Linked DNA regions of Oryzias latipes. The protein of the gene in region 2 purifies or fractionates together with the protein of the main gene of each other region. This does not show direct contact. Links are inferred from orthologs where the notes say so. Each region holds a gene or a part of one and is shown on either strand. Other genes may lie near its edges.

The links.
Region 1: the proteins of ppie (region 2) and aqr purify together in Homo sapiens (affinity purification with mass spectrometry; 5 studies listed by BioGRID and IntAct, counting the BioPlex papers as one, with this or other methods). This does not show direct contact. The link is inferred for Oryzias latipes from reciprocal best matches to the Homo sapiens genes PPIE and AQR.
Region 3: the proteins of ppie (region 2) and znf830 purify together in Homo sapiens (affinity purification with mass spectrometry; 3 studies listed by BioGRID and IntAct, counting the BioPlex papers as one, with this or other methods). This does not show direct contact. The link is inferred for Oryzias latipes from reciprocal best matches to the Homo sapiens genes PPIE and ZNF830.
Region 4: the proteins of ppie (region 2) and dhx8 purify together in Homo sapiens (affinity purification with mass spectrometry; 3 studies listed by BioGRID and IntAct, counting the BioPlex papers as one, with this or other methods). This does not show direct contact. The link is inferred for Oryzias latipes from reciprocal best matches to the Homo sapiens genes PPIE and DHX8.

What each region holds. Positions count from the first base shown.
Region 1 is NC_019880.2:7,498,998-7,506,630, forward strand, and holds part of aqr (intron-binding protein aquarius), read left to right. Parts: intron 1-708; coding exon 709-918; intron 919-3,305; coding exon 3,306-3,443; intron 3,444-3,529; coding exon 3,530-3,601; intron 3,602-3,694; coding exon 3,695-3,882; intron 3,883-3,993; coding exon 3,994-4,165; intron 4,166-7,633.
Region 2 is NC_019880.2:16,793,888-16,802,032, forward strand, and holds ppie (peptidyl-prolyl cis-trans isomerase E), read right to left. Parts: upstream 5,531-8,145; 5' UTR 5,461-5,530; coding exon 5,430-5,460; intron 5,110-5,429; coding exon 5,011-5,109; intron 4,922-5,010; coding exon 4,878-4,921; intron 4,593-4,877; coding exon 4,566-4,592; intron 4,495-4,565; coding exon 4,413-4,494; intron 4,331-4,412; coding exon 4,227-4,330; intron 3,463-4,226; coding exon 3,339-3,462; intron 2,054-3,338; coding exon 1,868-2,053; intron 1,793-1,867; coding exon 1,650-1,792; intron 1,148-1,649; coding exon 1,079-1,147; 3' UTR 882-1,078; downstream 1-881. UniProt on the Homo sapiens protein: Involved in pre-mRNA splicing as component of the spliceosome. Combines RNA-binding and PPIase activities.
Region 3 is NC_019875.2:26,992,024-26,999,299, reverse strand, and holds znf830 (zinc finger protein 830), read left to right. Parts: upstream 1-3,623; 5' UTR 3,624-3,678; coding exon 3,679-4,653; 3' UTR 4,654-4,820; downstream 4,821-7,276. Other genes in the region: ankyrin repeat domain-containing protein 13C-like, read right to left, coding at 85-170, 1,837-1,941, 2,638-2,679, 2,785-3,145; efcab14 (EF-hand calcium-binding domain-containing protein 14), read right to left, coding at 5,916-6,094, 6,211-6,336, 6,423-6,516.
Region 4 is NC_019877.2:18,257,695-18,266,065, forward strand, and holds the start of dhx8 (ATP-dependent RNA helicase DHX8), read right to left. Parts: upstream 4,447-8,371; 5' UTR 4,384-4,446; coding exon 4,275-4,383; intron 3,760-4,274; coding exon 3,674-3,759; intron 3,588-3,673; coding exon 3,515-3,587; intron 3,374-3,514; coding exon 3,282-3,373; intron 3,189-3,281; coding exon 3,082-3,188; intron 2,163-3,081; coding exon 1,806-2,162; intron 1,697-1,805; coding exon 1,552-1,696; intron 1,458-1,551; coding exon 1,254-1,457; intron 1,025-1,253; coding exon 937-1,024; intron 843-936; coding exon 745-842; intron 7-744; coding exon 1-6.

The DNA.
Region 1 (7,633 bases), about 9.3 Mb from region 2:
CTCTAGAGAGTTTTGAGCTGTCACTCAGTTATGGACTTTAACATTAAAAAATCAAAGTATTCCCAAACCTTTTGTTTCACAAATCTTTTTTCTTTTTGTCTCTTTTTTTAACATAGTGGGTTTTGTTTAAAACTGGCCCCCTAAAAATAATTAGTTGCTTTAGAGAGGCTATTTTTGCTTTTCCAATCATTTTAAGCTGCAAAACAAAGTGGCAGATAACGTGTGTGACATTTAAAGAGGTTTGTTTCCAAACTACTTGAAGGCGATTGTGTCTGTGATTTATGATGATTGTGTGCATCTTTATCAGTTAAAGGTTTCTATAATAAAACGAGCTATGGAAAAAAAAGTCCACACAGATGGTTAATACCCTGTTGAGATAGATCATTAAACCAGTTTAGAGCTTCAAGTTGCTTTTTACCTGAATATTTGTGGGGGATATTTATTCTACTGCTTAGTTTAAGCTTAGTTATTACCTCCTCAGAAAACACAAAGCTAATCTTTTCTCATTGCTGTGTTTTATTATTTTTGTTGCAACAATAAAATTAGAATCAGTTTATCCTCATGCTGTCCTCTGGCATTCAGCAGTTGCTAAAGTAGATTTAAGCAGTCACAGCTAGGCAGTACTCATCCTCTGACACTCAAGTTCATGCCGACAGAAAATAGAATATCAGTAAATAAAGCTTGATTGATATTCCTCTCCCATTACAGGTTATGTCCCGCTGGGAGGAATACATGAGCAAAGTCAAACCCAAACAAGGCAAAAAAGCGGACGTGGGCGATGTTGCTGCACATTTTCCCTTCCACAAGTACTTCTCCAACGCGCCGCAGCCTGTTTTTAAAGGCCGATCATACGAGGAGGACATGGACATCGCAGAGGGCTGTTACCGCCACATCAAGAAAATATTCACCCAGCTGGAGGTAAGGAGGTCACCGACAACCAACGTTCACTGGTTCCTTCTTTGAGCTACTCTTTAGATTTATTCAAACACTGCATCCCATTCCATGTAAAGTTGAGATAAACCTCTTTTGCTTGAATAGTTTGGTTTTTGCAAAACAATAAAGCAGACTTAAAAGCATGTAGTTGCTTTTTAAACATTGATAATTAAGAAAATGGCATTTATAAAAACACGTAATTACTATGATTTAAAGAAGACAACATAGGTAGACAATTATCCTCTTTTTTTCTCCCCCCTTTCTGATTAATTTAAAACACTTGACAAATACAGCTGACTAGGTTCCATTATTTCTTCTCAGCACAAGCGTTGGTCTAACAAAAAAACACCTCTGATTTATGGGAACACCAAGATGGTCTCCAAAAAGCAATAAAGAAGTTATTGGCTAGAGGTAACATCCCGACATGTGTGGTGACCTTGGTTTATCTGGCTGGCCTCTGTATCACTGCATCACAGCATCTCTCCCTCCTCCCTCAGCCTCTCCCATGCTGCAGTGAAATCTGCAACCCCATTAGGAGGTGCTGCTTTTTATGGTGCAAGGTAGCAGGAGCAGCATCCTTCTACTTTAGCTTATCTGTCTGTCTTTCAAATCGAAAATCCATCTTGAATAACTCCATATGCTGTCTATTTTTGGAGACAAAGGGTTACTGCAGATGCTCTGACATCCAACCACATTTCTCTACTTTTTTTTAATTTAACTTTCTTTTTCTGGAATTCTCTCCAATCCTTAATCCCTTAATTTAAATTTCTGATCACTCTGGAGTCATAAAGGTTAAAAATAGACTTTATTAATTTTGCATTTTTTTGATCGATTTAATATTAATGCTAAGATAGTAACACATCAAACATTTATACCCCAGTGCTGTCCAAGTCTACTTCTTCCTTCCTCCCCCTTTACCCTTTACATGGCTTATGTGGTAACCTGAAACAGCCGGCTCACCCATACTCCTACTCGGTTTTATGTACTGGTTTTGCTGGAAGAAACTGGTTGGTTATTGTCAAAAACCCAGCTACTGTTCTTAGATGCCATTCAAAACCATGCATGAAACGCTTTTTATAAAGCTGCAGTTTTTTTCAGCGATTTAATCCTCCAAGAAGGAAAGGAAAGGAGCATGTGGGTTTTATTGTCCCCCCTTTGAAATTGTGCTAAAAAAGCAGATATTTGGTTCTTTCTTGGGTTTGTTTGGCTTTAAAAAAACACATATTACCCAATAAAGAGGAGCCGCCTGTAAGAGAATATTGGTATATTCCCTCAGAGTAGACACTTCTAGTGTATTTACATTCAATTATTTGCTTATCTGCTTGTTCTAGATTTGTTAGTGATGGTCACATTTCTTTTAAGAGTTCTTAAACACAGACACAACTGTTTCATATTTTAAAACTGTATTATAGTTAGTACAGATAGTATATACTTAGTTTAAACACATAAACCTTTTTTTTTGTTTAAATAAAGACATACAAAACACAATTCTTATGTCCAACAACTGAGCAAACAGATCAGAGCTGAAGGCCTTTTGCGTTGGACAGGTTTTACAATCACAAAAAGAGGTTATATATCTTCAAAAAAAACCATAGTGTAAATTTGTATAAACCCCTTTTTGCTTTTTATTATTTTTTATCTATTTGTTACATTTAGTGTGCGTGGGGAGGGATTTTAACATGTTTCTAAATATGTTTAGTGATTTAGCCTCTTTGATTTGTTGAAGATCTATCCATACCATAATAGCCTGCATTGAAAAACATATCTATTCACTTTACTTCTAAATTGAGGTTTCTAGAAAAATACATTAAAATTAAAATACATTTTTCTTTCTCAAATTTATTTTGTATATTCTGGGGTAAACATTTATGATTTAAAACCAAAACTATATTTTACAAAACCGGTGAATTAAAATACCGGTATATATTTTATTTGGAGGATGCCTATAGTTACTTCCTGTGATTATTTTTGTTGCCTTTTTCCAAAAGAAAATAAAAAAAATTGAACCTGTAAATGTTTTGTTTGGGTTTTCTCAAATTTCAATACAATAGATCAAGTATGAATGTCTTTGACAGGATTTTTATTTTTGGATTTTAGTTAGAGTTTTTAGTTTAAGAAATCATTAAAAGTGTTTTTTTATTTAACTATTGTAATTTTCCCAGGATTTGAAGATAGAAATAATTGTCTTTGCTCACAGGAACTGTTCATTACATTCTGCAGTGAAACTGAACTTTCCAAATACAAAAGGCATGAATAATAGAAACAGGAAGTTCTGTCACACTGATTGTTTTTTTTAAGCATCATAGCTCTATAGTGCATCTTTTTGCACTATAAAGATGCACTACTAACCCAATCTTCATCCTTGTTTATAGGAGTTTAGGGCCTTTGAGTTGCTCAGAAGTGGACTGGACCGTACCAAGTATTTGCTTGTGAAAGAGGCCAAAATCATTGCCATGACCTGCACGCATGCAGCACTCAAACGTCATGACCTGGTGGAGCTTGCTTTCAAGGTAGATTCATTTACATCAAGATGTAAGAAAGCATTCCGTAACACATTATTGAGAAACATAAACCAAATGAATCTTCTTATTGGTAGTATGACAACATTCTGATGGAAGAAGCTGCTCAAATTCTGGAGATTGAGACCTTCATCCCCCTTTTGTTACAGGCAAGACTTTTGTTGTAAACTAAAACATATTGCCAATTTAGACAGTTTTTCTGTAAAAACAATTATTCTATCTTTGTATCTTCTTTTGACTAGAACCCAGAGGATGGTTACAGCAGACTGAAGCGTTGGATTATGATTGGAGACCACCACCAGCTGCCCCCTGTCATCAAGAACATGGCCTTCCAGAAGTACTCCAACATGGAGCAGTCTCTCTTCACTAGATTTGTGCGCCTGGGAGTTCCCACCATAGACTTGGATGCACAGGGCCGTGCACGCGCCAGGTGGGAACACTGACGAAACAAAGCAGGGTTCTGGGGTTAGCTTAACAGTGAAAGTGCTGCTTCCACCCTGAAAGGCTGACTGAAAGAAAAGTTGTGTTTGTCATTCCACAGCCTTTGTAACCTTTACAACTGGCGCTATAAACATCTGGGTAACCTGCCTCATGTCCAGCAACTTCCCGAGTTCCAAGTGCCCAATCCCGGCCTGACCTTTGACTTTCAGCTGATCAACGTGGAGGACTTTAACGGGGTGGGCGAAACCGAGCCCACTCCTTACTTTTATCAGGTAGGTAAAAACGCTTCAGTGTACAAAAATAATGTAATCCACCAAATTTGTTGTAAATCCTTTTAGGGAAATCATAGTAGTAGGATTAAAGGTTGTCATCTGGAGAATTGACAAAGCCTTTTGGATAAGAGGTGAAACGTCTTCAACTTTAAAAACCAAGTCCCGATGACAACCTTTAAACCTACTACTATGATGGAATCAACCTGGATGAAAGAGAGTCGTCATAGACACATTTTAGGGAAAGCTTGTTTGTGAAAAGTGTTTTTAATGGGATTTACGGTACCTGGTTTGGATGAGTAGGTGGAAAAAACAATTGGAAAATAGGAGGAAACCATAACAATCTTTTTTTTTCAGAGGTAAAAGAAAATGTTCTTTTAAGCCAAACATTTTCTCAAGTTTTATATTAAAATGCACAGTGACAAAGAACTTTACATTTCTTTTTAAAAAGACAATGCAGCAGGTGGACAGGCTTTGCTTAAATTGGTATCTGTAAAGACTGGAGACCTGCTCACTCATCCCCTGCTTTGATTACTTTTAATTAAAGACATTTAGTTTAATTAGTGACTGTTTCTCATATTTATTGCCAGCCTGCAGTGATTTATTGCCTCCAACTGTGGACTTGGTTATTACAGCAGATTATCTGCATGTTCTGGATTCGTTGGACACAATTTGACTGTAGTTTTAGTTTTTATTTAAATATTTTATGGGAAAACATTTATTACAACCTTATGAACTTAAAAAAGTAGAGCAGAGTAAAAACAAAAATAGGAAGTCAGTCTTAAAATCAGACATGAAAACTGGTAAGCAAACGGTGTAGAGTCAATTAAGCTTTTTGAAAAGTAAATTTTGCACCGTTTTGTACGTTTTTAAAAATTATTTACAAATGCAGTTCAGATATGTTATGTTTTATTTTTGACCCTCATTTAACAGTTGAATGAGTGACAGAAACTACATTTAATGTTGTAGTTTCTGCCTGTTAGACTTGAAGTTTAAAACATAAAAAGCACTAACGTAGTAATTTTTTTAATTTGGTTTTGTACAAATGGCCTTTAATTTGATTTAAGCGTCTTGAAAATGTCGTAAAAATCCTTAAATTTAACTTCTGTAAATCTGTAGACACTCTGAGATTTAGGCAAATCCAAAGTGTTTTGGTGGAGGAATTTCATACAATCGAATCATGAAATGCATCAGATTCATGGATCAATTAACCTTTTTTGAATTATTTCAGACAATAGTTTGTTTGTTTTTAGTGTAAGAACGAATCATCATATTGATGAAGTTCCACTTTTATGCAAATACTTTTTTTGCGAAAGGTAATAAAATCATTCACTTTTAGAAATCTTTAAATATAGCAAATCAAAATAAAGTCTTTGTCTAGGTTTTTAAATGTAATACTTTGCTCTAATTAAATTAATCAGTTATCATTGTTCTGTAACATTTTAGCTAGCCGCTCGACCAACACTTAATGTTTCACTGCTCATATCAGTGGCATGGTTTGTAATCAAGGACATATAGCTGCTAATTCCTCTGTAATCCCCTTTTTTCCCCTTTCTTTTACTTTAACGTGCAGCATGAGTCCGTATTCATCCATCACTTCATTTTCAATGACATGACATCAGTATCTGTTACACCTGTAGCACCCATAAAAACACTGCAGGATCAGCTGAATGGCTCATGTTGCACAATATGCAGCACTTTCTGAGCACAATTGATTGCGTTCTTTTACAGAGATACTGTCACGTACACACGTCCTCCAATGTGGAGAATCGTATTCCTGCTGTGCCTCCAGCTCCTCCTAAGTGGTTGTTTTTACAGCAGTTTCATTCATTTTTAAATTTCTGTGGCTCACCTGCCAGTTCTTAAGTTAAATCTATTACTCTGCAAGCTTACAGTGGTTGTCCGGCACCCACTAGAGGGTTTGTCCTTCACATCAGGAGCCAGATTGAGTTTCATCATGACATTGCTCAGACTCCAAAACAGCGTGCGGACAGGCGGATCTGCTGATGGGGTTGTTTGTTTTTGCACAAACACCAGCAAAATGCCATTTATTTGGTCAAATGTTATGTCTTATGCTTGTCTCAATGCTGTATCCACCTGTTGCAGAAATACACAATATAAAATTATAAAGTTTCACAGAGAAACAGGTTTTTCTAAATGACAATACAGCTGTTTGTATTAGATTTTTAGTTACGCTGATAATATTTGACAACCTAAAATGAAACATCAGACGTTCTTTTGAAAATGTAGATGTTCAATAATTGTAAAAAACAAACAAAACAGCTCTTTTGATTATCAGTAGTATAAAATCAAAGCATTTTTTTAAAATAGTCTAATTGCGAAATGTTTTGTTTATGCATATTCAAGATTGCATTTGCAACATTATTGCAACATTATTAGTTACACAATTTCAAATTTTTAATTAAAAAAGTTTCATTTCTTAAAAAATAATGTCCCATTTTTTCGTCTCTAATTTTAAATATTCAGTTTTCGTTGTCTTATGTTTGCTTTTGCAGATAACTTATTTATTTTTAAATGATTTTTTCATTGATAACTGTTTTATTTCGTATTTTTTCATTTGATTTCACAATAGTGTACTGCTCATCAAAACGTTCTCTACTGTTTCACAGTCCTGGTCCTTCTTCTGGTTGTACCATGCATTTTCCTCAGGCCTTCATTTACTCCTAAATCCAGATCATGTGCGCGTCTTAAGGCAGCAGGTCACATGAATCTCGTCTCCCCTCCAGGTTACCAGTTTCTCACTTAGTTGCCAGGATATAAAAAAACAAATACTGACTTTCCAAGGAGACGGATGGAAAACACTGGAGTTGAATCCAGACCTGGATAGTTGAACATGTTTTGCATTAAACTTGCTAAAGCTGAACCATGTCGGAACCAATAAATGCATGCAGAAGTCTTTTGCTTCTTCCCATTTTCTAAATGAAGTTTAAATCCATTGATGTTACTTCAGTGTTGTCTAAGGGCTCATGAACAGTGAGATCAATGGCCTTTCTGTCACACAGCTTATACATTTCTGCTTCACATTATGCATCTTATATTACATGAAAGCAATTGATCTGATGAAACCGATGGCAGTGTAGATTTATGCTAATCTTTATGTGCAGTTTATTTCTATGTTCTTGTTCTATCCCTTCGTCTTTTATGGTCTGTATTTTTACTTGAGGACTTTCTAAATTCTGGTGACTAAATTTAGAAATTTTAGATTAAATTAATCAAATTCATAACTTTTTGAACATTTTTGTTTAACAGGAACATGAGGGTTTGAAACTGGAATGGTTAGACATATTTTAGATGGTTTTCCTGGTGTGCACTCTGAAATTGTTTTTTTGTAATGAACTACTGCTTCTCTGCAGAGACACTGTCCTATAAAATGACACAGGTTTGGCATAATCGTAGTTAAAAGGCCACTGAGAATGCTTTTAGAATAGATCTAAAGATGGTCTGTAATGT
Region 2 (8,145 bases):
TGATCTGAAAGATCTTATATGCAGATCAGTTTAATGTAGCATACTCTTAGAGCAGACACCAACTGACTACTGGAGCACAGCCCACCGCCATAGGTGGTACAAACAAGGTCATTAGCAACAGCCATCTTTGGCGACATTTCAAATTAAAGCCACATCCTCACACAGTTCTGCTGATCATTACACAAATGGATATTCCTGTTCAATGTGGATCCATTTTACTAGCTCGATGGCCTTGTGGTAGAGTGTCCGCCCTGAGAAGGAAGGTTGTGTGTTCAAATCCAAGCAAAAGACCCCAAAAATGGGACCCATTGCTTCCCTGATTGACACTCATCATTAAGGGGTTAAATGGTTCTTGGGTGTGGCTGTGTGCAGCTCCCCAAGGGATGAGTCAACTGCAGAGAACAAGTTTCACTCACCTCGCAGTGTGACAACTAACATGACTGAAAATTATCTCTACAGAAAAAAAAGAGAGATGACTGGATGAACAGTCTGTACCGTTAATTCTAAGACTTGAAAACATATAGTCAACATGAATATTTTATTGTCACGTTAATAAATAACTTTTAGGGACTCAATAACAGGAAGTTGTTGTTTCTGCATTCTCAACGACGAGGCATTATGAAATAAACTTCTATTTATTTTGTTCACAAGATTAAAGCTGAAATCTCAGCATTAGAGACTTAAGTAAAACTTGAGTTTTACTTTGTGTAAATCCAAGTCCCTGTCTTTGTAGAAAAGAGATCGAATGCCAATTTCCTCACTCTGTGTTATTTATGATGCATTGTTGCTTTTAAACGTTATTTTCCATTTCAGATAACTGCTGACTTTCTCTTATTTAACTTTTGAAACACATTTTAGTTATTTTAAAAATTCAAAAAAACAACCTAAAAAATGTTTCTTGTGTTGATTATCCATACATGACAAACTTCAACTTCTCCTTTCTTTATAAAAAGTATTTAATGAAATATTTACAGGACAGAAGATGCCAATTCAAACATACAAAAGCCCAGAACCCCCGTCTGTTGCTCTCAAATGAAGATTTCTGCACGCAAACACAAAGCCATGGTTTGGTTTTCATTCACACGTATTCGCCGCAGTCTGAGATGATCACCTTCTGCTTGGGTTTGCCATCTTTTGTTCCCTGAGCCTGCAACCAAAGCAGAAGAATTTACACGAGACATTACATTTTTAATAAATCCTAAAATCACAACGTTTGCCACTGCAGCGTTCTTTATAAATCTAGAATGTTACATTTATTTAATCCTCTGAACTAAATTCTTTTTTATTTTTGTAAACTGAACAGATCAAAAGTGCAATAATGTTACGTTTCGTTAAGGTTATATGGACACCCCACTATGATTTTAATTGCGTTCATAGAGAAGTTTGCTTTTTAAAGGGTGACAGAAAAACAACTGAGCCTCCATAATTAAGAAGAGAATGTGACAACATGGGTTTCTCCAGTGAGCAGAACACTCATTTACTGAAGCTTCAACACTAAAAGAAGTTGCAGAAAACCATAAAATATGGAAAGTTGTGCAGAGAAAGAAGTGATCTTCTATGCAAACTGTCCCCATGCAGGGAAACTTTGCATAAATCACTGCAGACGTGTCATAACTTAACATGGATGAAGCTCGTGGTTCGTACTGTACCTCCATTGCTCGGACCACGTCCATCCCCTCCACCAGCTCTCCAAACACCACGTGTTTGCCATCCAGCCAGTCTGTCTTGTCATTCGTGATGAAGAACTGAGATCCGTTTGTGTTTGGTCCAGAGTTGGCCATGGAGAGCTGCCCTGTGCACACAAGACACAAGCTTTTACTCAGAAATCCCCCAAATCCTGCTGATGTCCCCAAACCAGGATGCTCACCTGGAGCCGTGTGTTTGAGGACGAAGTTTTCATCGTCAAACTTTCGCCCGTAGATGGACTTCCCGCCAGTGCCGTTGTGGTTGGTGAAGTCGCCCCCTTGACACATGAACTGAGGTATAATGCGATGGAAGCTGCTTCCCTTGTAGCCGAAGCCTTTCTCATGTGTGCACAAACAGCGGAAATTCTCTTGATAAAAAATAGAGAAAGCAAATATTATTTACAAAAAGAGTAACTACAAAGGAAATCAGGGCTTTGTTTATCTATCAGTAGGAGTATGTTTGCAGAATTTTCCCCAAAGACTTCACTTTAATTCCACACATTCATTGACAACAGAAAAATACAGGTAGCTGGTGCAAAAAAATGCAACAATGGCCGCTCAGCTCGCTGAAGTTTAGCACTGTAGAAATGGTGTTACTGCAGGAAAACTATTGTGAAAGAACATTCTTTCCTCTTGCTGCACCCTCCGCTCATTGTCTGAACTGGACTTGTGGGTTTATCCCGTAAAACAAACTCTCAGGCAGAGGAACAGCCTTTTCTACCTGCTTCAGTTTTTAACCCTTTACCTGCAACTGTAGCACTTCTTTGGAACAATCGTTATCATACCTCAGCCAGTTTCCAGAAATCTAGAAAATGTATATGTATATAAACATGCGAGGAGTCACTTTTTGACTGATGGACGGGGAGCTGAGAGGCTGTTACTTTTGTCCTTTTGTGAGACATGGTACATATTACAGAAATGTCTAAATAATGCTATTTAGATCCTTTAAAGTGAAGGATTGCTGCTGCAATTTCCATATGGTGAAAGTCCCTATATTTGTTTGAAACATGACTTTTTAATGTGTAGTTGTGGTTTTGCCATTTCTCTCCAACAGGGGTCTCGGTTATGTCATATATTGTAAGACCACAGCCCCAGACTAAAAAAAAAAATAGGATATGAAATCTCAATATGTTCAGGTCCTGTCTCAAATCAGAATTGGGGAGTAGGTTTATTTTTTATTATAAAAACAGAAAGAAAAACATTTTTTGAATAATTTATAAAGAATTTAGAAGACTGATATTATATTCAAAGTAAATAGAGTGTGCATCAGCAACCTCAAAGAGAGACTAAAGGACACAGTGGGGTTAAATGGTGTTTAGTCGGCTACCAATTGGTCAAGTTCTTCTACCTAAGAAGATGAGAGGCTGTCATTTTCATCATAGGTATACCTCAACTATGAGAAACAAAATTAGAAGAAAAAAAAAATCACATTTCTTGAGAATTTAATTGTAAATTATTGATTTTTTTCCTTCAATTTGTCTTTCATAGTTGAGGTATACCTATGATGAAAATGACAGGCTTCTCTCATCTTTTTAAGTGGGAGAGCTTGCACAATAGTAGCTGACTGAATACATTTTTGCCCCTACTGCAAATGTTTGCACTTTTTTAGAAGAATGTTAATATTTGCTTCATCTTTTGGTTGAGTGTGCAGACCTGCAGTCATCGGAACGATGTCCGCCCGCAGGAGGAAGCGCAGTCTTCCTGCTGCTTTGTTCCCAATCTTGATGTCCATGTAGACCTGTGGATTTACTCGGCTCTTTTTAGCCTGTGGCTCCCCCTGCAAAATCAGAAAAATGCATTTATCATATTTTTATTGCCTACACAAAGCCCTGCAAAAATGAATAAATAAATGAAAAATAGTCCTACAAATGTTTTTTTTTTTAACTTTATCTCTCAACCGTTATGGAAGTAATTTCTGCTCAAATGCTGTAAAGGATTTCTGATTCCCTTTGTTGTTCAAATGCGCCAAGACTTTCCAAATAAACCCACACACCCAGATAATTTACTCATTTAGTGCATTTAATAAGAAACCTGCTTCCTCCAGTGAATCAATTTTAATTCTAATTTTATTACTGTTATGCGAGTGATAAAGTTGGTTTCTCTAATTGGGAGAGTGGATCAATCAAACTAATCTAAATGAGGATTACTAAGAAAATGCAGATTTCTCTGGATTGTAAACACAAACCTGCTTTTTTGATGAGTCACGTTTTGATGTGTTTTTATATAAATTAGACAGATTTTCACTCCTGACATGACATTTCATCATTCACTGTACATTTTACACTCTTCATTTTTAGTCTTACACTGACGCAACAATATTTCACCAAAACCTGCTTTTCTCAGTGAAAAAATAAAATAAAGGCCCTCTAACGGGTCTGTACATTTAAATTTATTGAACTATACTCTAAAAATTAAGATTTAAAGAGAAAAAAAGATTGCTCATTTACTACATGTTTATGCAGTGACCTTATACCTTAAATATCTAGAATCTAATTCCCTGAATAAACTGAGTGTCCTGAAAACAAAACAAAAAGTTCTCACCTCCTGTGTTTTGCTGGGTGCCTCTCCTGCTGCTACCGCCTCAGCCTCGGCTTCCTCCAAGGTTTTCCCCGAAAACTTCTTCAGCCAGTCGTCATCCGACCACACTGAACACAAAAACAAGAGTTACAGGTCAAAACCACATCATAAAAAACAAAGCAGATTTTAAGAATCTTCTTCTATGATTACCTGGTCGAGAAGAACCCTCTTTGATTCTCATGGGCTTAGCGATGTTCACTCGGATAGTCCGTCCAAAAAGTTCAGACTCATTCTGGCAGCAAAAAAAAGCTACAATTTAAACCCAATCTTTTTAAAGAATAAGAAGAACTGTTAGTCACTTACCATGTTATCAATAGCTGCTGCTGCATCCTGAAGGAAAGACAGTGATGAGAAAGGGATGCATTCAAGAAAATAAAAGCTCACTTTTGTTAAAGATTCACCGATACAACTCTGGGTTATTTTCAAATTAATATGATCAAATCAAAGAGTTTGATTTGCACTTTAAAAAAAACAACAAATAAAAGTTTTTCTTGTTGGTTTGGTGAATCTATAACGTTTTTCAAGTGAATACCTTTTAAAAAATGAGTTTTCTGAATCCATCCTTTGTGCCATCAATAATTCAATTCAAAAGGAGAAAACTTTAAAAGCACAAACCTCTGCCAGCTCAAACTCAATGAACCCAAAGCCTCTGTGCTTTTCTAAAATGTAAGCACAAAAAATACTTAAATGATCAGGGTTTTTTTTTTGTTTTTTTGTTATATGATTATAAAATAAAACTTGATCTGACCTGTTTCATAATCCAGGGGTATCTGGATGTCTGTGATGTCTCCAAAGGGAATAAAGGCTGCGTGTAAAACCTTCTCATCCACCTCCTCCGCCAAACCACCTGGAGGAAGCAGCAGCGCAAACACTCAACACTCAATGCTTCATCTTCGTACTTTTGAATGAACACATCGTACATTAACCAGGATGTTAAAGTCGAAAACAGTGAGCTCTGTATGAGTTGGCTTAGCAGCATGTGATGGTTTCTATAAGACCGGAATACAACGTTGACTCGCCTTGGTTTTCCCCGCATAAATGGTAAAAAAAAGTTTTTATAGAAGGAATTAGCATAAAAGAGCTTTTAATTTCTGTTTTAGTTCAGAGTGGAGTGTAACTTGATCGGTCTGACATTCATAGTTAATTTAAAAAGTTATCATTACTTACCGACATACAGAACCCTTTTATTCGACGCCATATTGGATTCTAGATGTTGAACTTTAACCTCGGCCTCTGATTGGTGGAATCAAAAGGAAGCCCGCCTCTTCAACTATCCACAGCGCCCTCTATTGGTCATATTTAGGTCCAGCAACTGATCTATAGAGCCAATGACCGTCAATATGACTCTTTTCAAACACATTTGTGAAATGTGCCAGAGTTTTCAGATGAAAACAATCATATTTGTCGTTTTGGCTTTTTGTCTTTTTTGTTTTTTAAATGGAAATACCTAACTATGTTTTAAAAATAAAACAAAACAGCTCAGTGGTTTCAAATATAATATATACTTTATGTATCACAATAATTTTTGGACAGCTAAAATACACTAATGTTATGTAATTTTTGCTTTAGAGTTTTGTTGTTATAATGCTGCTAAATCCCTTTAAACTGTTTTTACTTTCAAATTATTTTTTATCTTATTGTTCCATAAATTTTCTGTATTTCTAAACTGATTTACTGTTGAGGGTTACCTGGCAGAGAAAGTGGGAAAAGGTTGAGAAGCACTGCTTTTAGTGACCCAGCAGTCCTCACCTTCTTCTTACGGAAACCCAACCATGTTTTAACTAAGGTTTTATACTTTTTATCTGAAACAAAACCCTAAGGGCACAATTTTACCCCACTCCCTTTGTAGCACTAGAGTTGTAAAGCACAATACATTGTGTTTCACTACAAACAATAACATTATAATTCACTGATGAAAGCTGTGTTTATGGCCGATTCAGAAGAACAGGTCAACAGCTAAAAAAGATCAACATTTTTAAATGTAAATTCTCACTTACAGAGAATTTTTGGTAGTTTGTTCCAAATGATACATCCAAACCATCCATTTCCCAAACCCATCGAATCTCGTTTGGTTTCACTCTGTTGCTGGAGCCTATCCCAGACACTGTTGGGCAAAAGGGGGGTGCACCCTGGACATGTCACCAGCCTGTCACAAGGCCACACACACTCACATTCACACCTAAGGGACAATTCAGAATTGAATCGGTTAGTTCAAAAGGGGCCCAAGTCCAAGAGGTTTTTTTTTCAGGAAATGATTTTAATTGCATAGCTTAAAGGGAGGCAACACCAAATGATTAATACTTTACCCAGATTTAGCACCAGCTCATAGCTTACAAATGCTATAATATGAAGCACCTCATTTTTATAATTTCAGAGGACTAGCAAACTAAAGTCTCTGGACTTGGGCACTTCTTGTATTAAACAGGGGCGTTGCCATATTGGATAACTAGTGCTGCCATCAATGGGATAAAACTAAACCCATACAATAGAGGCCCAAGTTCAGGAATTTTGCACTTAATGCATTTTAAATGTCAAGCATAGTCAATACATTACAACAGACTTGGGACTTTTTTGCACATAATCATATAGCTTTTCCCTTGAAGACCATAAAACATATAATATCTCTATTTTGAAAAATTGTGGACTTGGGCCCCTTTTGAACTAACCGATTGCCAAATCAATTGCCAACAAACCATGAAGCACATTTTTGGGCTATGGGAGGAAACTGAGAAAACCCAACCATGCACTGGGAGAACATGGAAACTCCACACAGAATAGTCACATCCAGAGTTGTCTTGAAGTGAGGCGAGTGCTAACCACTACACCACAGTGCAATTGGCACCTTCAAAACATTTAGATCATAGAGCAATGTGGAATGTCTGCCAGACTTAATTTCCTCTACTTGATTTTTTACTTCCAATAAATCATTTTGAGGTTTGTGTAAGTGATTTAAAGAAAAACATCTTGATTTTAAATCCTCTGAAAAAGGTGAAGTTTGTCTATTTAAATGACATTTGCGGGGTGGGGGGAGTACTCTAAAGTCATAAAAACAGCTTGTTAAGACTAATTTAATTATTTTCTAGAAAGAGCATTCATACGCTACTTTTTTTTTTGGATCCACTGAAAATTCCATCAAGACACTAACAAAAAACTAAAATAGCACTGCTCTGGCTTGCCTGAAATCTAAAGCTATCACTCAGACAAATGTGAACATGGGAAAACTTTTATTTTGAAAATATTTATTTTTATTAATTCAAATTCTTGTTTCAAAATCTTAACAAAACTAAAATACATCTTTGTGCTCTTTTGATCATCGGTCAGTCAACAACAGGATAAAGTAAAAATAAAAGCTTTTTTTTTCTTTAAAGCAAAATATGAAGTAAAAACAATGTGAGCAATCATCAAGAAGAATGATTATATATATAAATTTTAAAACTAGAATACTGGTTTAACTCTGTCAAGAGTAAAATACCTTAGACAACAAAATAAAAGACAACTAAGCCCAATATATAACATGTTTATTGAGAATACCACACACTCATTAACATGATAGGACTGAGTCCCATCAGTTTAGTCAAATGTGAAGCTTTCAAGCAAAGGCAAACTTCAAGGCTTTCCTATCAGTTTGGTTTTTTTAATGAAAATGACGTCCCTCTTTTGCCACTGAAAGAGAGTTTGTATTCAAGATAAATTTGCATTCTGATCTTGGTATTCAGTTAAAAATTATTATGGAGTTACAAAATGATCCACTTTAAGGATTTTTAAAATATTCAAGTACTTTGCAAAATTGAAAGTATTTTCCTTGGTTTTCATCATGTTTGAAGGATTTTGTAGTGTGTTCCTGTTCACCTCAGCTCGTTTACCTCTGAAAAGACACAATGAT
Region 3 (7,276 bases), on a different chromosome or scaffold from region 2:
AAATGTATTTTGTTTAATGTCAGCAGTCAGATTTCTGTGATGCAGGTTAATACATGAAGCTCCAGCCAGAACAGAAACACTCACCTCTCTGAGAGCTTTCAGTAATTTTGGCCGCTTATCTTCCACACTCTCCCTGGACTGCTGCTTTAACTTCCTCAGCACTGCAGTAACTGGAAATGGCAACAAAAATGACTTAGCGCAGAATCAAACTTTCAGCCCCATCATGAGTGTTTAAAATAAACGGGAACGACTGATTGACAAAGATCCTACTGAAAGAACAATACAAACAAAATCAAGGTCATGGAAATTCATACAGAAATTCTCTTGTTAAATTTAGGTTTTAGTGTAGAATTTTTACCAAATTAAAACTTCACTGTTCACAATTTTTCTGTGGTCTAAACACAAACAAATTATTTACCACTATGTCATCATAGGTAATCACCTAAGAAAAGATGAAATCATTTGTAACCCTTGTGCTATCCTAGGCACTTTAATGTTGGGAGTTGGGTCATCTAGACCCACTACAGTGCGCTGAACCTTTTTTCTTCAATGATTTGTGATCTTCACTGGTGTCCATGGATTACATGAAATCTTCCACCTTTATCCACCTTTGTCATGGTAGGGAGAACACGTCAATGGAAGGGTGGGGTCATCTAAGATAGCACAAGGGTTAATCAAATCAAATGTAATATATTGGCACAAAGTCCGGCAATGACTGAATCAGCAGATGGGAATAACTGGTTCAAAAGTCCCATCTCTCTATATATAAATAAGAAAGAGCTAACCAGTGACCCTTCAATGATAGACCAGATGAACCAAGTCAGCACTTCTGAGTATATCCCAGTAATCTCAGAAATGCTGCAATGAGGATGGATGTGGCTAAGAGGGGCAGTGCTGACAAGGCTCCAGGATGTAATAGTTTCACACACATACAAACAGCAACTGAGCTGCTGACACAAGGCGCCCAGGCGATGACAGATGACAAGATTGCAGAGTTTTGAGAACTGCTAGGAGAAGAAAACAAAGGTGTGCTTTCTAGAGCAAACCTTGCTTTAACTGAACGGTACCTGCTGTTGATGCTATTTAGGTTAAAGTCCAAACACCCTGCTGTGTCAGTGGAGTTTGACTTTCAGTGTCCTTGCTGAACATTTGAATGTAGTCAGCTCCTTTTCCACCTGCTTCTCTAAGCTGTGACCTCCTCAAAGCTCCCGAGTCCCTCTCCCTGACCAGTCTGTCATGACATGCAAAGATAACCGAAGCGCAGGGTACCAGAGGTCACGCTCATTGATTTACTACACTAGAGACCCTGAGAAATGAAAAAAGAGGGAGCTTTTTCTTTAAAAACTGACTTTTTTTATTAAGTTGGTTCAAAAATGGGGCTGCACTGAATTTAAAGAAGTCCTATTCTGATGTGGAGCAGTAAAGATCTTATAAGCTAAGCTCTTTTTAATATCATAAGCTGTGGCAGATGCTGATATCCAGATCATCTGGATGGCGAGTTCGTGGAAAATCCCGACCTTCAGCTTTCGAGTTGAACCCACACGGCAGCTGCTAGTTGATCAGTCATAGAAATGTCCTCTGAACACTAATAGTTTTACCTTTGACTCAAGCAGTAGGTTCAACATTTACAGGCTGTTTCCTTCTAAAAGAGTTTGTCAGCAAAATAGAACATTTTAGAACATATGATTTAACTTTCAACAACTAAAATGCTAAAAAATGTAGAAAAATGTAACATTTTCCAAACAAAACATAACAGAAAAAACAAATCGGGCTGAATCTGTTAAATAATTATACAGATAGAATAGAAGGAGGACTTGGTTTGTTCTGATTGCTTACTCATCTGCCTGTCACCATAGCTGATAGCTTCCGCCAGAGGACTCCATCCCTGTGCGTTCTTTACTTTCACAGGTGCATTATGGGCCAGGAGAAGGAGAGCACACTCTGAAAGATTACAAATAAAGGAAACCAGTGAGTAAAGTTGAACTGACACAGTAGGGGGAGGTGTTTTTAAAGAACCATATTTTTACTTGGGACATTTACAAGGTTTTTTAGGCAATACAAAGCCATTTTTAGGGTGCTATAAATGCATTTTTACTATGGAAGAAGTTATTTTCCTATTGTCAGAATATGCGTTTGATTCAAAAAATCAAATTGATGCATACCATTATATAATCGTTTCAAATTAAATGTAGTCAATTAAAATCCATGTTGGATGGAGGCACTGTAGGTTTGTTTTACTAGAACGTAAAAATGACCAAGTGCATCACAGCACATGTGATGGCAGCAAAAAATGATCAAGCCATCATTCCAGTCCAATGTGTGGAAACACTTTGAACTTTGCAAAGACATGTGACCACAACATTATGCCACATTTTTGGTTATAGATGTTCTCGGTCGATTTGGTGTCAATGAATCGGATCAAACTGGATCCTTCAAACTGAAACAATATCAATAAATTGTAACCCCAGCCACAAATTATGAAATCAATCAAATCATTGTTAAAATGAGTTGTTACACCACTATAAATAATTAACTAGATTTTTTTTTATAACATAATCCTCTGGAATTAGATTGACAGATTACCAGGGTAAAGGGAAAAGGCTCCAAATAATTTCTGCTATTGTTATTCAAGCTTACCTTTATGTCCCATCATCACAGCCAGGTGAAGAGGTGTGTTTCCTGAAAAGACAGACAATTTTCCCTTTTTTAATAGACACAAAAGATTGCATTTAAAAACAAAACTAAGGATAAACATGAATAGGAATTAAGTATATTAAAACCTACCATGCACATCCTTCTGAATGATGCTGTGTGTCCTAATGAGGGAGGAGAGTCGACGCACGTCTCCTTTGAACACGCACTCGTGCACAGGAAACTGCAATTCCTCGTTGGTCAGGATAATAGGATTCTTGTTTTTATCAACGCATGCGTTGTCGTTGATGTTGTTTGCATTGAGATGCTGATGCTGCTTCAGCAACGAGCTTTCGATGGATTTCTGGAGAGCCTTATTTATCTTGAAATTGTTGCTGGTACCTTTAGGGTTGGTTTCGTTAGAGGTTTCGTCATAAATGTCCCTTATCTCTTCATTTTTGTTAAGCTTGCTGTTGTGGTCTTTCCGCACTGACCGTAGTTTTTCACCTGTCATGATGATGATGAAGAACGGGGGATTGCTAGCCTTGAACTCGACGGTGTATCGGTGACGTTAATTTGTCCGCAAAGCAGCATTAGCGAATTAAATAAAAAGTGAAATCAAATAAACCGCCAATACTTTCAAGTTAACTATATATTTTTGTCATTTAAAATTATTTCTAAACGTTAGACGGTGGCTTTCCGGTTAGCTTGCTAAGTCACAATAAAAAAAATACTGTATGATTATGATGGGTGCGGCTATGATACTGAAATTGATGCTGAACATAAAAGAACACTGTAAATAAACAAAAACAACGCAGAAAGCTACATCGTTTTTCCTTGTATCATCTTTTGTACTTACTTTTGAAAAATTACGGCGGCTGCGAATTATGAGCGTTTGCAGGAATAAACGGACGGCTACAGCTCATGCTAGGTTCTCTCGTATCGCGAGATTTCACGGTAGTTCAAACGAACGACGGTGCTACGTCATTTTAATGAGACGGGCTGTTGCTGATTAGCTAGTAGCTCGCTGGCTAACAACAAACTCTTATGATGGCGACTTCAAAAAAGGGGAAAAAGGTGGTAAATCAAGAAGAACTCCGGCGGTTGATGAGGGAGAAACAAAGACAAACCGCTGACAAGAAGCGCGTGGAGTCTCCGTTCGCCAAATACAACAGTCTGGGACATCTGAGCTGCACGCTCTGTAGTGTGCAGGTGAAGTCCGATCTACTGTGGCCGGCTCATGTCCTCGGTAAACAACACAAGGATAACGTTGCAGAGCTAAAAGGAGCAAAAACGACACCAGCGCCGAGTCAAACACCGAAGAGAAAAGCCCCTGACACCGAAGCAGTTACCGCAAAAAAGGCGAAGCCCGCGTCGGTTGCAAGTCAGTCTACATCCGATGCTTCTGAGAAACCTCTCACCACCCAACAGTCTGCGGGTCTGAGTCTGCTAGCCGGTGTTTATGACGACGAGGATGCCAACGCTGAGTCTGAGGCACCTGCTCAGGGAGCGGACGGAGGCCTTCCAGCCGACTTCTTTGACAGTTCCATCCCATCCACACCCGCCATCTCTCACTCCGGATCCGTCCTGAAAGCCGAAACGAAGGAAAAGCCCCCCGAGAAGAAAGAAAACACATCGGAGGTGCTGCCCGAGGGCTTCTTCGACGACCCAGTAAGGGATGCCAAAGTGCGCAATGTGGATGCTCCCAAGGATCATATGGACAAAGAGTGGGAAGAATTCCAGAAAGAAATTCGCCAAGTGAACACAAAATCCGAGGCCATCGTTGCGGAGGACGATGAAGAGGGGCGTCTGGAGCGCCAGATAGACGAGATCGACGAGCAAATCGAGTGTTACAAAAGGGTGGAACTGCTGCGGGACAAGAGAGATGCTGTGAAAAGCAAAGCTCTGCCCAAAAAAGACAAACCAAAAGAAATACAGGAAGACGTAGACGATGAGGATGATGAAGAGGAATTGTTGGGACTTTTGACCCAGGACTGGAGGGCCAAAGGGGCTCTTGCTTGAGTTTCATAAATGCATCACTTCTTGTGTCCAACTCAACTCAAAACAATTATTTTGTACAAAAAATGCTGTCAACTCAAGAGATTTATAACTAACTTTCCTTTTTGTCCGGTCTAGAATGGGTTTTGAAAACTGCAAATCACAAGTAAAATGGATTATTCAAAGGAGAACAGCGTTTTCTCTGTCTTTTGTCAAAACTATTGCGACCAAAAACAAACCTTAAACATTCTTTTATTGGTGCTCAAACACAAAACATTCATAAAATCTCCCATGTACAGTAGCAGCATGAACTCGTCAGTTATCACGGAAAAAACATTACACACTTTAAAATTTCCAAATGTTTCATGTCACACAAGAAGCAACATGCAAAGTAAAATACAAATGATTAAACTTTCAATTTAACTCATTTTACAAGGGAATATACATTTTTACAAAGCTCAAAAGGAACCAGGATAGTTTTGTATTCAAACGCCTAACAGGTGATGGTCAGTGCTTCTTATACTACCTGTTACTGCAAGTTAGGTGTGCTTTCTGCCTAAACTACATTTTTATTGCTTAATCTGCCTCACACGGATGCACCTCAAAGATTCAAAGCGAGTATAGCCCTTCAAATATGAAACAGGAAAAAGTACAAAGAGAAGGACGCAGACTAAATACTTGATCCCAGTTGTAACTTAGGAAAATATGCATGTCACATCTTAAGAAAGAGCATAAAAGTTCATATTTAAGATCAACAAGGAAAAGGTATAAAAACACCAGAGGTCTGACAAAAACTGTGTTTCTAGTAGTCATTTGTAAACATTCAAAATACAGATCTAAAGATTCAGGTTAGCAGGACCGCATAGTTGTGTGAATAGGTGAGGAGCATCTCCATAAACTGGCAGTTATGTTCTATCCTACTATAGAAAAACACTAAATCATTACATCCAGATGACAAAAACAGGAGTACATGGATAAAAGTCGGACACTGAAGGTGGAAAAATGGACTCCAGGCATCTCTAAAAATAAGCAGAATTCGATTAAACAAGAAGCAGACATGACTTCCTAACACTACAGTTAAATATTTGGTAATGTTTTGTGGTGGATGAAAAGATAAAATGGAACTTAGGATAGAAGGATTGAGCAGATCAGCACTGCCCCCCCCCCATTCAGCATGACAAAAATCCAATTCACAAAATAAAATGCAGCAACTTCAGAAAAAAAAACTTGCAGCCCTCCAGACCTGTCTGGGTTTCAATACTGTTCACTGCTGATAGAATGTGTGCTTAAAAACCCACGGCCACTCTCAGCTCTGTCAGGGAATACATCTTGTCCCCGTTGCTGTCGAAGCACTCCATGGTGCGTTCGCTGGGAGCCGACGTCTGCAACACTTCCTTCAGGTCGTTGTAGGTAAGACCGGGAGAATGAGGCTCTGCAGCGGCTCGCTCAAACAGGTCTTCTAAATCTATGAACAAAACAACAAAACTTTATGTGAAATGCAACACTTATTGGATTACCACCTTAGGGCTGAGGTGGTCTAGGAAGTACTTTATTTAAACCTGTAAGATGGGGTAGTTTTACCTTTCAGAGAACTGACACCTCGCAGGGACACCCTCCTTGAACATTTTACCCCCGCATTCCTCTTGTGCCGGGGTACAGTTAAAAAGCGAGGCCGTCTGCTCGTCGTCAGCAGTGGTGAAGCGGACTCTATTGAATGAAAAAAGAAAAAACATTACAGTGAATCAGTGAAAATACAGTTTACGGTTAGTAGAAACTGATCAGTATTACTGTACCAGGAGATGCTGTGGTTGTAGGAGCATCCTTTAGCATCCTGTTGTCTGAAGGTTGGCTAAATTCTGGTGAAGTTTCTGTTCCATTATTCTGCACCTAAGAAAAAAAAAACAGTAAAATTTTAGGTATTTGGAATAAACAAAATAAAAATAGACAAGCATTACACACAATAGCTTAACTCTAACTGTTGGACTTTAGCATAAAGGTGTTTTACACCCAGAATGATATTGAGTTTGTGGGAGAACCTGATGGCAGTTTGTGCCAATTGAGCAGCAAAAGCTTTAAAAACAACCCGTATTTTGGTTTTAATAAACAGAAAACCCTGTAAATGAATTAATATGATATAGAACAATCAATTTATCAAGGTGAAAACAAAATATCGGTACGAAATAGGGCTGCACGATATGAGGAAAACTTGCAATTTACTATATTAATGATCAATATTACAATGACGATGTAACTTGGGATACATAAACAAATCGCAAAACTACCAAAAACATCATTTCCATTTTACTGCAACAGTTTAATTTAAATAAGAGTCAACATAAATTAAATTATAATCCACATGACCCTCGTCTACATAGGAGGCAAACATCTAACATAAAATGGCTCCATCTGATTGGTCAAATGCATAAAGGCATTTATTTGATTAGTTAAATACTTCAAGCAACCATAAGATTGTTTTAGAACATTTAAGATAACCATTTATCGCAATTTTCACTGACTTTTACAAAATGCTTATTGCACAGCTTGATATTGCGATAACGATAAGTTTACGATTTATGGTGCAGGCCTAGTACAAAAGTAAAACGAGGCCATCTTTAGGTACAGATGTCCTGATCCGATCATGTGATCA
Region 4 (8,371 bases), on a different chromosome or scaffold from region 2:
CGGGTTCTGGGGGGGTGGGGGGGAACCAGAGTCAGAGCTCAGACAGAAAAACGACATGCTCCTATGAAAAGATGTTTTTCTACAAACTTTTACAAACTCCTGTTTTGGATAAATAAAGCCTCTTTTTACTTTGGGTTTCTAACAAGCAGGGACCTCCCAATCGGAGAAGGCAACCTTTGTGAAGAGAAAGCTCAGCTTTTGTTTTAAAACCGAGTTTGTGTCAGTTTTCTTTCCACAACATCTTGCAGCACTAAGTAGCGTTTTAAGGCAACCAGTTTTCAGGAACTCTGCCATCTGTTCCGACTGGATTGACTAAGAAAATGTCTGAGTTCAAGTAACTCACACATCAGCAGCACTCAGACAACAGCTACCAATACTCATAATAGAAGTTCAGCTGAGTTGTGGGCGAGCCTGTTGCTCTGGGGTTCCCTGCTTGTGGTCCGCCCGGCGTATTTTCGACATCACAGATACGCTCTTTTTCAAACAGCTTGTTTTTCGGCTGCTCCTGATTCACAACAATTTGAATAGAGAAATACTCAGAAATTCAATTTGATTCATAATTCTCTTCATATATATCCTCCATCTGCATGTTAAAAACACCAAACACACCATTTTCATCAGAGTGGGTCTTTATAAGGTTTATAGAAAAGCTTGTTCCAACAAGATGACATTTACGACATTTAGCTGTTGAGTTCAGTCAGAACTGTTGTTATTCAGTCTGAAGCGACAGGGAATTGAGTTTACCTTGACGATCTTAACAGGACTCATGTCCATGCTCTGTTTGGTGTGTCCTCTCAGAAATGGGGGTTCCTCCTCCACCAGCTCGATCTCCAGATCTTCATCTGCAGGAAAGTGGATTCAAACTTTGCATGAAGTTCTACTTTATGGGTTTTGTAGCAGACGGAACATTTATAGAAGTGGACGACTATTTCTTACCTTCTTCGTCATCAACTTTAGGCAGGATTCCTGTCTCGTCATCAAAATCTGGGAATTCTTCTTTGGACAACACATTGGCAGCAATCATCTGTTTAACAACAAAAGGTTCTGTTACCGGAAAAAGTTCCACAAAAGAAACCTCACAAAAGAGAATAATGTTCAACAGGTTATGACATCAATTTTTTTGACCGATGGCCATTTAGATTAGAGGCCAATTAATTAATTAGTTATCAGTAAATATATCCGTTTTGTAATTAAATAAAGAGGCAGTCATCTCTGTGAAAAGCAGACACTCAAATTGTAAAACTAGAGCACACCTGTTTGATCTCCCACTTCTCGGGGTCAGAGATCTTTGTGAGTCTCTTGCGCTCCAGAGTGTCGTCCTGTTCCATTTCGGGGGCGTGGCCAAGGTTCAGGTTGGAGGGTCGGTCAGGGTTCCTCATGGAGACCTCTTCTCCTTCTGGACCAACGTTCCTCCTTCTGTTCGGGTTCAGATCTTCTCCTGTGTCTTGATCCACATCCTGGCGAAGGCAGATAAATCAATAAAAGTTAGGAGTTGCAAAGGTGAGAACATGTCAAATCTTTCTTGAAGCCATGAGTCAATCTTTTATTTACCTTCATACTCAGACTGGTCTTTGAGCCTGTGAACGACAGCACCTTCACTTTGACTCTTTGACCCTTGCTGACAACGTCAGCCACATTGGCGACTCGTCCCTCTCTACGCAGCTCAGAGATGTGGACTAGTCCCTCCCACCGCTTCCTAAACCAGAAGAGTTCACAACACGAAGGCACAAGAGCAACAGACCAGGAAGGTCAGAAAAATCTTTGAAGTTATTCAGGGTAATTGATTTTTTAAACCCCACACTGACCTTAATCCCTCCAGTTGGACGAAACATCCAAACTGCATGATGCTGGTGATCTTGCCATTGTAGATGTCCCCAACAGAAGGTTCCTCTGGAGGGGGGCGGTCCACATGTTTGTCCTTCCAGCGGTCTCCATCCCTGTCCTGCTCCTTTCGGGGACTGGGGGAACGGTCACCCCAGCGGGAGGACTTCTCCCTTCGTTTGCCTCGGTCTCTATCTCTGTGGCGATCTCTGGAGCGAGATCTGGATCGAGATCGAGAACGATGGCGCCGCTTCTTGTCTCTATCTCGATCCCTGGCTCGGTCTCGGTCTCTGTGTCTGTCTCTGCTTCTACTTCTGCTGCGATGCCTGCTTTTATCCGACCTAAGATACATAATTGCAAGAAACTCAAAGTACATTCTACCCTGGAGAGGATCTCCCCAGTCAGCGTTTTCCAACCACGGTCAGAATCATGTCATTGCAGTTCATAGTGTATGTAACACATCGAATCTGTAAACACACTTAAAACAGCATCACCCGAATGTAAAAATCGGGTCTACAAGCAAAAAAAAAATGTGCAAGTTAAAATGTTTTTAATTTTTTCCAACCCAGTGTAAAATATTCAAAGTTTTTGGTTCCTGACAGCTAATAATTTTTCTTATTTTATAAAGCAATCACCTACATTGGTCAATTTTTATTTATTGTTACATAAAACCAATAAATGCATTTTGCAAAGAAATCTTTTTCTGGCTTTTTTATACTGAAAAAATACCGAAAATGTACCAGACTGAGCCCTATGAAATTCAGAACTAGAGCTGTGACGGTGTGGGATTGCGGTTAACTGATGATTTTAGGTGTCACGTAAAAGCCACTGCGGCGAGCAACAAGCCCCATGCTCCGCTCCATTCTGCTACATTCCCTGGTGGACGACTAGATCCTCGTCGGAGCTGGTTTCTGGCCCAAAACTGGATAGCTCCAATAGATGGGTGACGAAGAGTGGGGGCGGGCTTGCTCAGTGCCAACAGTTTCAGCCCACAACTCAGAGTTAAATTTCTAATGAACTCCTGCTGCTCTGCACAAACTAAGTCCTCATATGACACAGATTTTTGGATTTTGGCTAAAAATATCATCATCATAATTAGAAAACTACTGGGAACGCTTTGAAACTATATCAAAAGAGGATCAGACTGGGACTTAAAAGACCTTTTAAGAATCTGTGGTCACACTGTTTACTGTTTCCATTTTACACAATAAAACAAACTTCTATACAAATGATTTTATTCTACAAAAATCAAAGTCTTACTTTGTCTTGCCCCCCTTGGACTCTGCCCCACTCACGCTGGGCATAAACATCTCAAGCTCTTTCATCGCATCAGCTGCTACTTTGACATCGTCCTCATCCAGGTGTTGCTAAAGTATTCAAACACCAAAAAAAAGTCAAATGTCAGCATTTTTTCATTAAAAAATGAATAAATAAAGTGATAAAATCCTTTCCCAACTTACTTTTGGTACAGGATCATCGGGTCTACAGAGTGCGGGGAACATCTCCTTTAGCCTGTCTTTCTCTGATTTGGGTTTGACAGATGCTTCTGAGACTGAAAGAGATAACACTTGCTTAGTTTAAACGAGAAGCAAACAAAATCACTATTTATGGATGACTGATCTGAACTATGTTTGGTATAAATATGCATATTAGCTGTTAAATCAGGAGAAAATGTTCCTCAGCATCAACATACCTTTACTCATTGATGCTTTGGATGGAGGTTGCATCGTCTGAATGAGTCTGAGCAAGTTGCTGATGAGAGAATCCTGAAAATCAAACAGCAAAACGAGGCGGTTTTCAACAGGAGCCACCGGAGAACGGGTCACAGGTCAGCGGCTGGAAGTGGACTTACTGTGAACTCGGCTCCATTTTCAAGTAAAACAGCTTTGAATCCATCAAAGGCTGGTTGTTTCTCAGCGAGGCTGATGACGAACTCAGCTGGGAAATGAGAAACAGAAGGTTTTTTCAACAAACACAAAAAAAGACCTGCAAATTTACTGGATTAATGAAAACGTTATATCAATTTATGAATATCTAAAAATGATTAATCCAATGAAGGCTTATTGAAAGATATTAGTTGTTGCTTTCTACGGGAGTCTTTGATGTGATCTGTAATTTGTTCATAGACTTAAACATTGACATTACTGTTTTTCGATCAATTAAAAATAAAAACTATTCAATATGCCACTGCGTGCCTGCTGCTGAAAAGAAACAAGCTAACTACATAGCTAGAAACGTATTTTAAAATAAACGAATATTCAATACGTAAGCTAGGTCATGCGCGCATGACGGTAACAGTATTCTTAACATGTTTAACTGTTGTTTGTATTCTTTAACAAGGAATAAACATTGGGATACGCTTTAGTTTGTTTACAGCCACATAACAGCTAGTTAGCCTAGCAAAAGCTAACTAGATGTTTTTAAACAATTCGGAGTGAGAAAAAAACACTCACCTAAATCCTTGTCGTTTATTCCTAAATGATTGTCGAGCTCCGTGCAAACCTTGGACACTAAAGACAAGTATTCGAGCTGCGACAGCTCTTCTAACCCAATGTCTGCCATCCTCCACGAGCCTTGTTTTTGTTCAGAGATCGTAGCAGACAGCGGACAGGTTAGATATTTAATCACTTCCGGAGTAAACGGAAATACGATCCTGGGGATTTGGTAGCTTATCATTTCCTGCTACACGATGGCGCCAAAGCTTCGATAAATAAAACCCATTAAAAGTTAAGGAAAGTGGTAAAAATAGAATAGTGAAAAAAATAAAAATAAACCCACCTGAAGAGTAAATTTAACTGCTGAAAGTATAGTTTTTTTCTATGGCAAATATTCTTTACGAGATATTCAGTGAAATAATAAGTTTAACTTTATATATTAGTATATGTTATTTCTCTACTTGCTTTAAAAGAATGCTTTTATCTGCTTTATCTCCTCTAATTTTATGTGGACTTTCAGTGTTGGGGTTTTGTAAAGACGGTTCAAAAGCAGGATGCCATGATGGGTTCAAGCCAAAGTAAACTAGCAGATCTTTGAGTATACTATCACATTGTAGTAACATTTTTATCCTTATGATAATATACCTTAAATTTGACACATGCTGTATTTTTTGACACATCAGAGCTATCCGGCTTTATGGGTTTAAAACTCTAGAAATTACACCTAAACTACTTTTCTGAGGCTTTTTTTTTTAAAGAAAATGATCTCAAACCAGAAAAATAAAAATTTTTAAAAAAGAAAATTGGACGGTTGAGAAAGTTGAGCATGCCAGGGACTTGCATTTGATCAATTACAGTGGCAATTCTGCATAACGTTGATCCCTCTAATGAGATTGTATGGATGCTTAGATTGCTCTAACCATGGTCTTCAGCTCTTCTGTGTTGTTGAACATCTGGTATCTCATATCTTCCTATTTTTTATAGCCCCGAACATTTACAGGATTTAGGTCAGGTGAGTCTTAATCAGTTTCAGGGATACCAGGCTCTCTAAACCAGGAACTGATATCCTTGACAGTGTGGGCAGAACTCAAATCAGCATCTCAATAATGCCGGTCAGCCATGAAAACCTTTGGGAAATAGCTGCTCTGACCTTGGATTGTACTGAACACGGCACAAATATCAGCCTGGGTTCACATAGTTATAATGATTTATTCAGTAGAAAAAATATTGAAAGGAAAACAGATTAAGGGCTTTTATAAATCCATATTGCATCTGGAGTGAAGATCACTTTTAATAGATAAATCTAAAATACTTCTGCAGGCCTAACATACTCTGAGCTGAAGCTGGGAAATGTGTCGCTAACAGTTACAAACCTCGGATGTGTACAGATCACATGTTACATGTACATGTGTGCCCTCGGAGGATTTCAGCTGTGAGATTAAATGAAACAAAACAGGGAACGAAAGAAAGACAGACATAAAAGACAAGTTTGTTTCTTTTGGAGCAAATTCCAAAGACTGCATGAGATGAGAGTCTATGTGGAAAAGCAGTGAAAGTGTAGAAGGTTGCTGAGGCCCACAGTGTGGATCCGCACTTCTGCTGGACTGCCCAAATAACCAACCCTGTGCACCAAGCTTCCTTTGGTTGTTTTAGCAGAGCTTTAATGTACACAGTGCCTTCAGGATGATGGGATCTGCTGCAGGGTGCACAGAGCTAAACATGCTAAGCGCACTGTGAGGTGTCTTGCTAGTCCACATGAGTCTATCGCTGTGCAAAAACACACACCAAAAAAAGCTGGCTGGGAGAATAGGAGTGTGTGCAAACAGTGTGAGAGTTGAGCATAAATTACAATTGACAGCCCAGCTGGCTGCAATGGTCTCCTGCTGCAGACTGGAAAATTCCAAGCTGTGACAGAGCAGTGAGCGCAAAGAGTAAGGAAGACACAGCAGAGAGAGAAAGAGGCATGAGGAGCAGGAACCAAACAGCTGCTGAGGGATTGGTTAGTGGGAAAGCTGCACTAGCCAGATCACAGCTGATATCCACTTGCTAAATTGAGGGGTAGCAGTTAGCCTTCCAACAACATTCATCCATTCATTTTCAGAACCTGGTTGATCCCTTTTGGGGTCACAGGGTCGCTGGATCTAACCCATCAACTTTTGGGAAAAGGACACCCTCTGCTGTAAGGCCCCACACTCAAACTCACACACATCTAGGGGCAATTTAGTGTCATCAATCAATCTGTGAGTAGAGAGCGCAAACCACTACGCCCCTGTACAGTGTCTTCCTACAACATAAGCTTAAAAAATGAAAAATCAATTCACATCTTCACTCTACAAAGAAAGAGGTGGTTCAGTTTGGACCCATTGCTAAAACAGATCCTTTGATTTTATTGTTGTGTCTTAGATTTATGTAACATTTTCATGACATGAAGGTAGTTGGTGTTAGAGTAGAGGACGCTGAAGGCAGGGTCAGATGGAGGAACCTCATTCACTGTGGTGACCCCTAAAGGGAAAAGCCAAGAGGAAAACAAGAAGAAGAGTTATGCAACAGTTTCATGTTTTTGCTGACTCTGGAGGTGCAAAGTCTGTCAGCTTCATGACCAACAAAATCAATGATAACTGCATTTATCTTCAGTTAAGAGTTTTATCCATGGAGAGGCATTTTTTGTGTTGTTTGCTAAATAAATGACTGTTGGAATGACTTAAAAGGCCCACTAGTATAATAGGTATTTGTAATATGTTCTTATGGCATTTTACTTTTAATTGCTAAGAAGGTACATTGATACGTTTTTAGGACATGTAGATTATTTGGATTGTGTTAGAGGCAATGTGTATCATGTTAAAAGTTGTTTTAATGAGCCTGCTTTCATCCAACCACATTTCAATGAGTTGGTGTGTCTTACTGCTGCTCCGTTACTCTGTTTACATCATGCAATGCCTGGCTGCGGTTGCCATTTTGGATTAGTTGTTCTGCTCCGAGCACAGAGCCCATTCAGACTTAGGAAATCTAAGAGTGAACCGAAGCTCACCTCGAAACATGGGTCAGTGAGCGGTTCTTGGTCCTGGACCAGAGTCCGCTTGGGTGTATTCAGACTGAAAGTTTATTCCAGATTGTCGGGGGAAACAAACTCTGCTTTACTTTAAGAGAGCCAAATGTGACCAGTCTGAATCCACCCTAAATTCAAAGTTGCATTTCTGCATATTTCTTTATTCAAATTCTGAATCAGGAAGACTTAAATGTAAAAAGGTAAAAAAATATGCTGAGTGAGCCACAGGCTTCCTGCTCTGCTCCATTCCTATGCATCCACTTGTAGACAAATAGATCCTAGAACGTCGTACTTTTCCTCGTCTGAGCCGGAGTCTGGTTAAAAACTCCACGGCTGAATAGCTCCAATATTGCTTGCCATTTTTGTTGCATCGTTAGTGTTCGGTTGGGGTTGTAAGGGGCTGTAAATTATAGTGAAAGAGTGTGTATACAGATGGGTGATGGACATGGAGTTGCTCTGTGGCAACAGTCCCATCCACAATTCTGCAGAAACTGTCCCAGAAAACGACACAGGTTTTTTGCAATTGGCTAAAATGGCAAAATCATAATTAAAAAGACCACTGGGAATGCTTTTAAAATAAATTGAAAACCAATGGATTAGGATTTTAATTTAAAGTAATGTCAGCAATTTGTACTTTTTATAAATCTGACACAGATATGGGTCTCTGCTGTTGACCGGACTGTGAGACAAAGAAACACTCTCATATGGGATTATCATTGGTAAAAGCCTGTGAATAAATAAATGAAACTCCAGATTCTCACATATCCAGGTCATATTTGCATCGTCTGCTCTCTCCAAACAATATGTCACCAAACATGATGATGCCATGCAGGCAAGTTATCCTGATTTATTGCTTCCAATGATTAAAGTGTCAGAATTCTTGTGATCACACTTCTTATGTAAAATGATCCAAGGTTTCTCAAGGACAAAAGGTTTTTAAGAGGACCAGACAGAATACTGTCTACCCATCATGTCAGCTGACCTGTTTAAGAGCTGCTGATGGTTTCCTAACCATGAAGATTACGAAGTAAACGTTCATCTAAAAGGCCCATTGAAATGCTTTTATTTT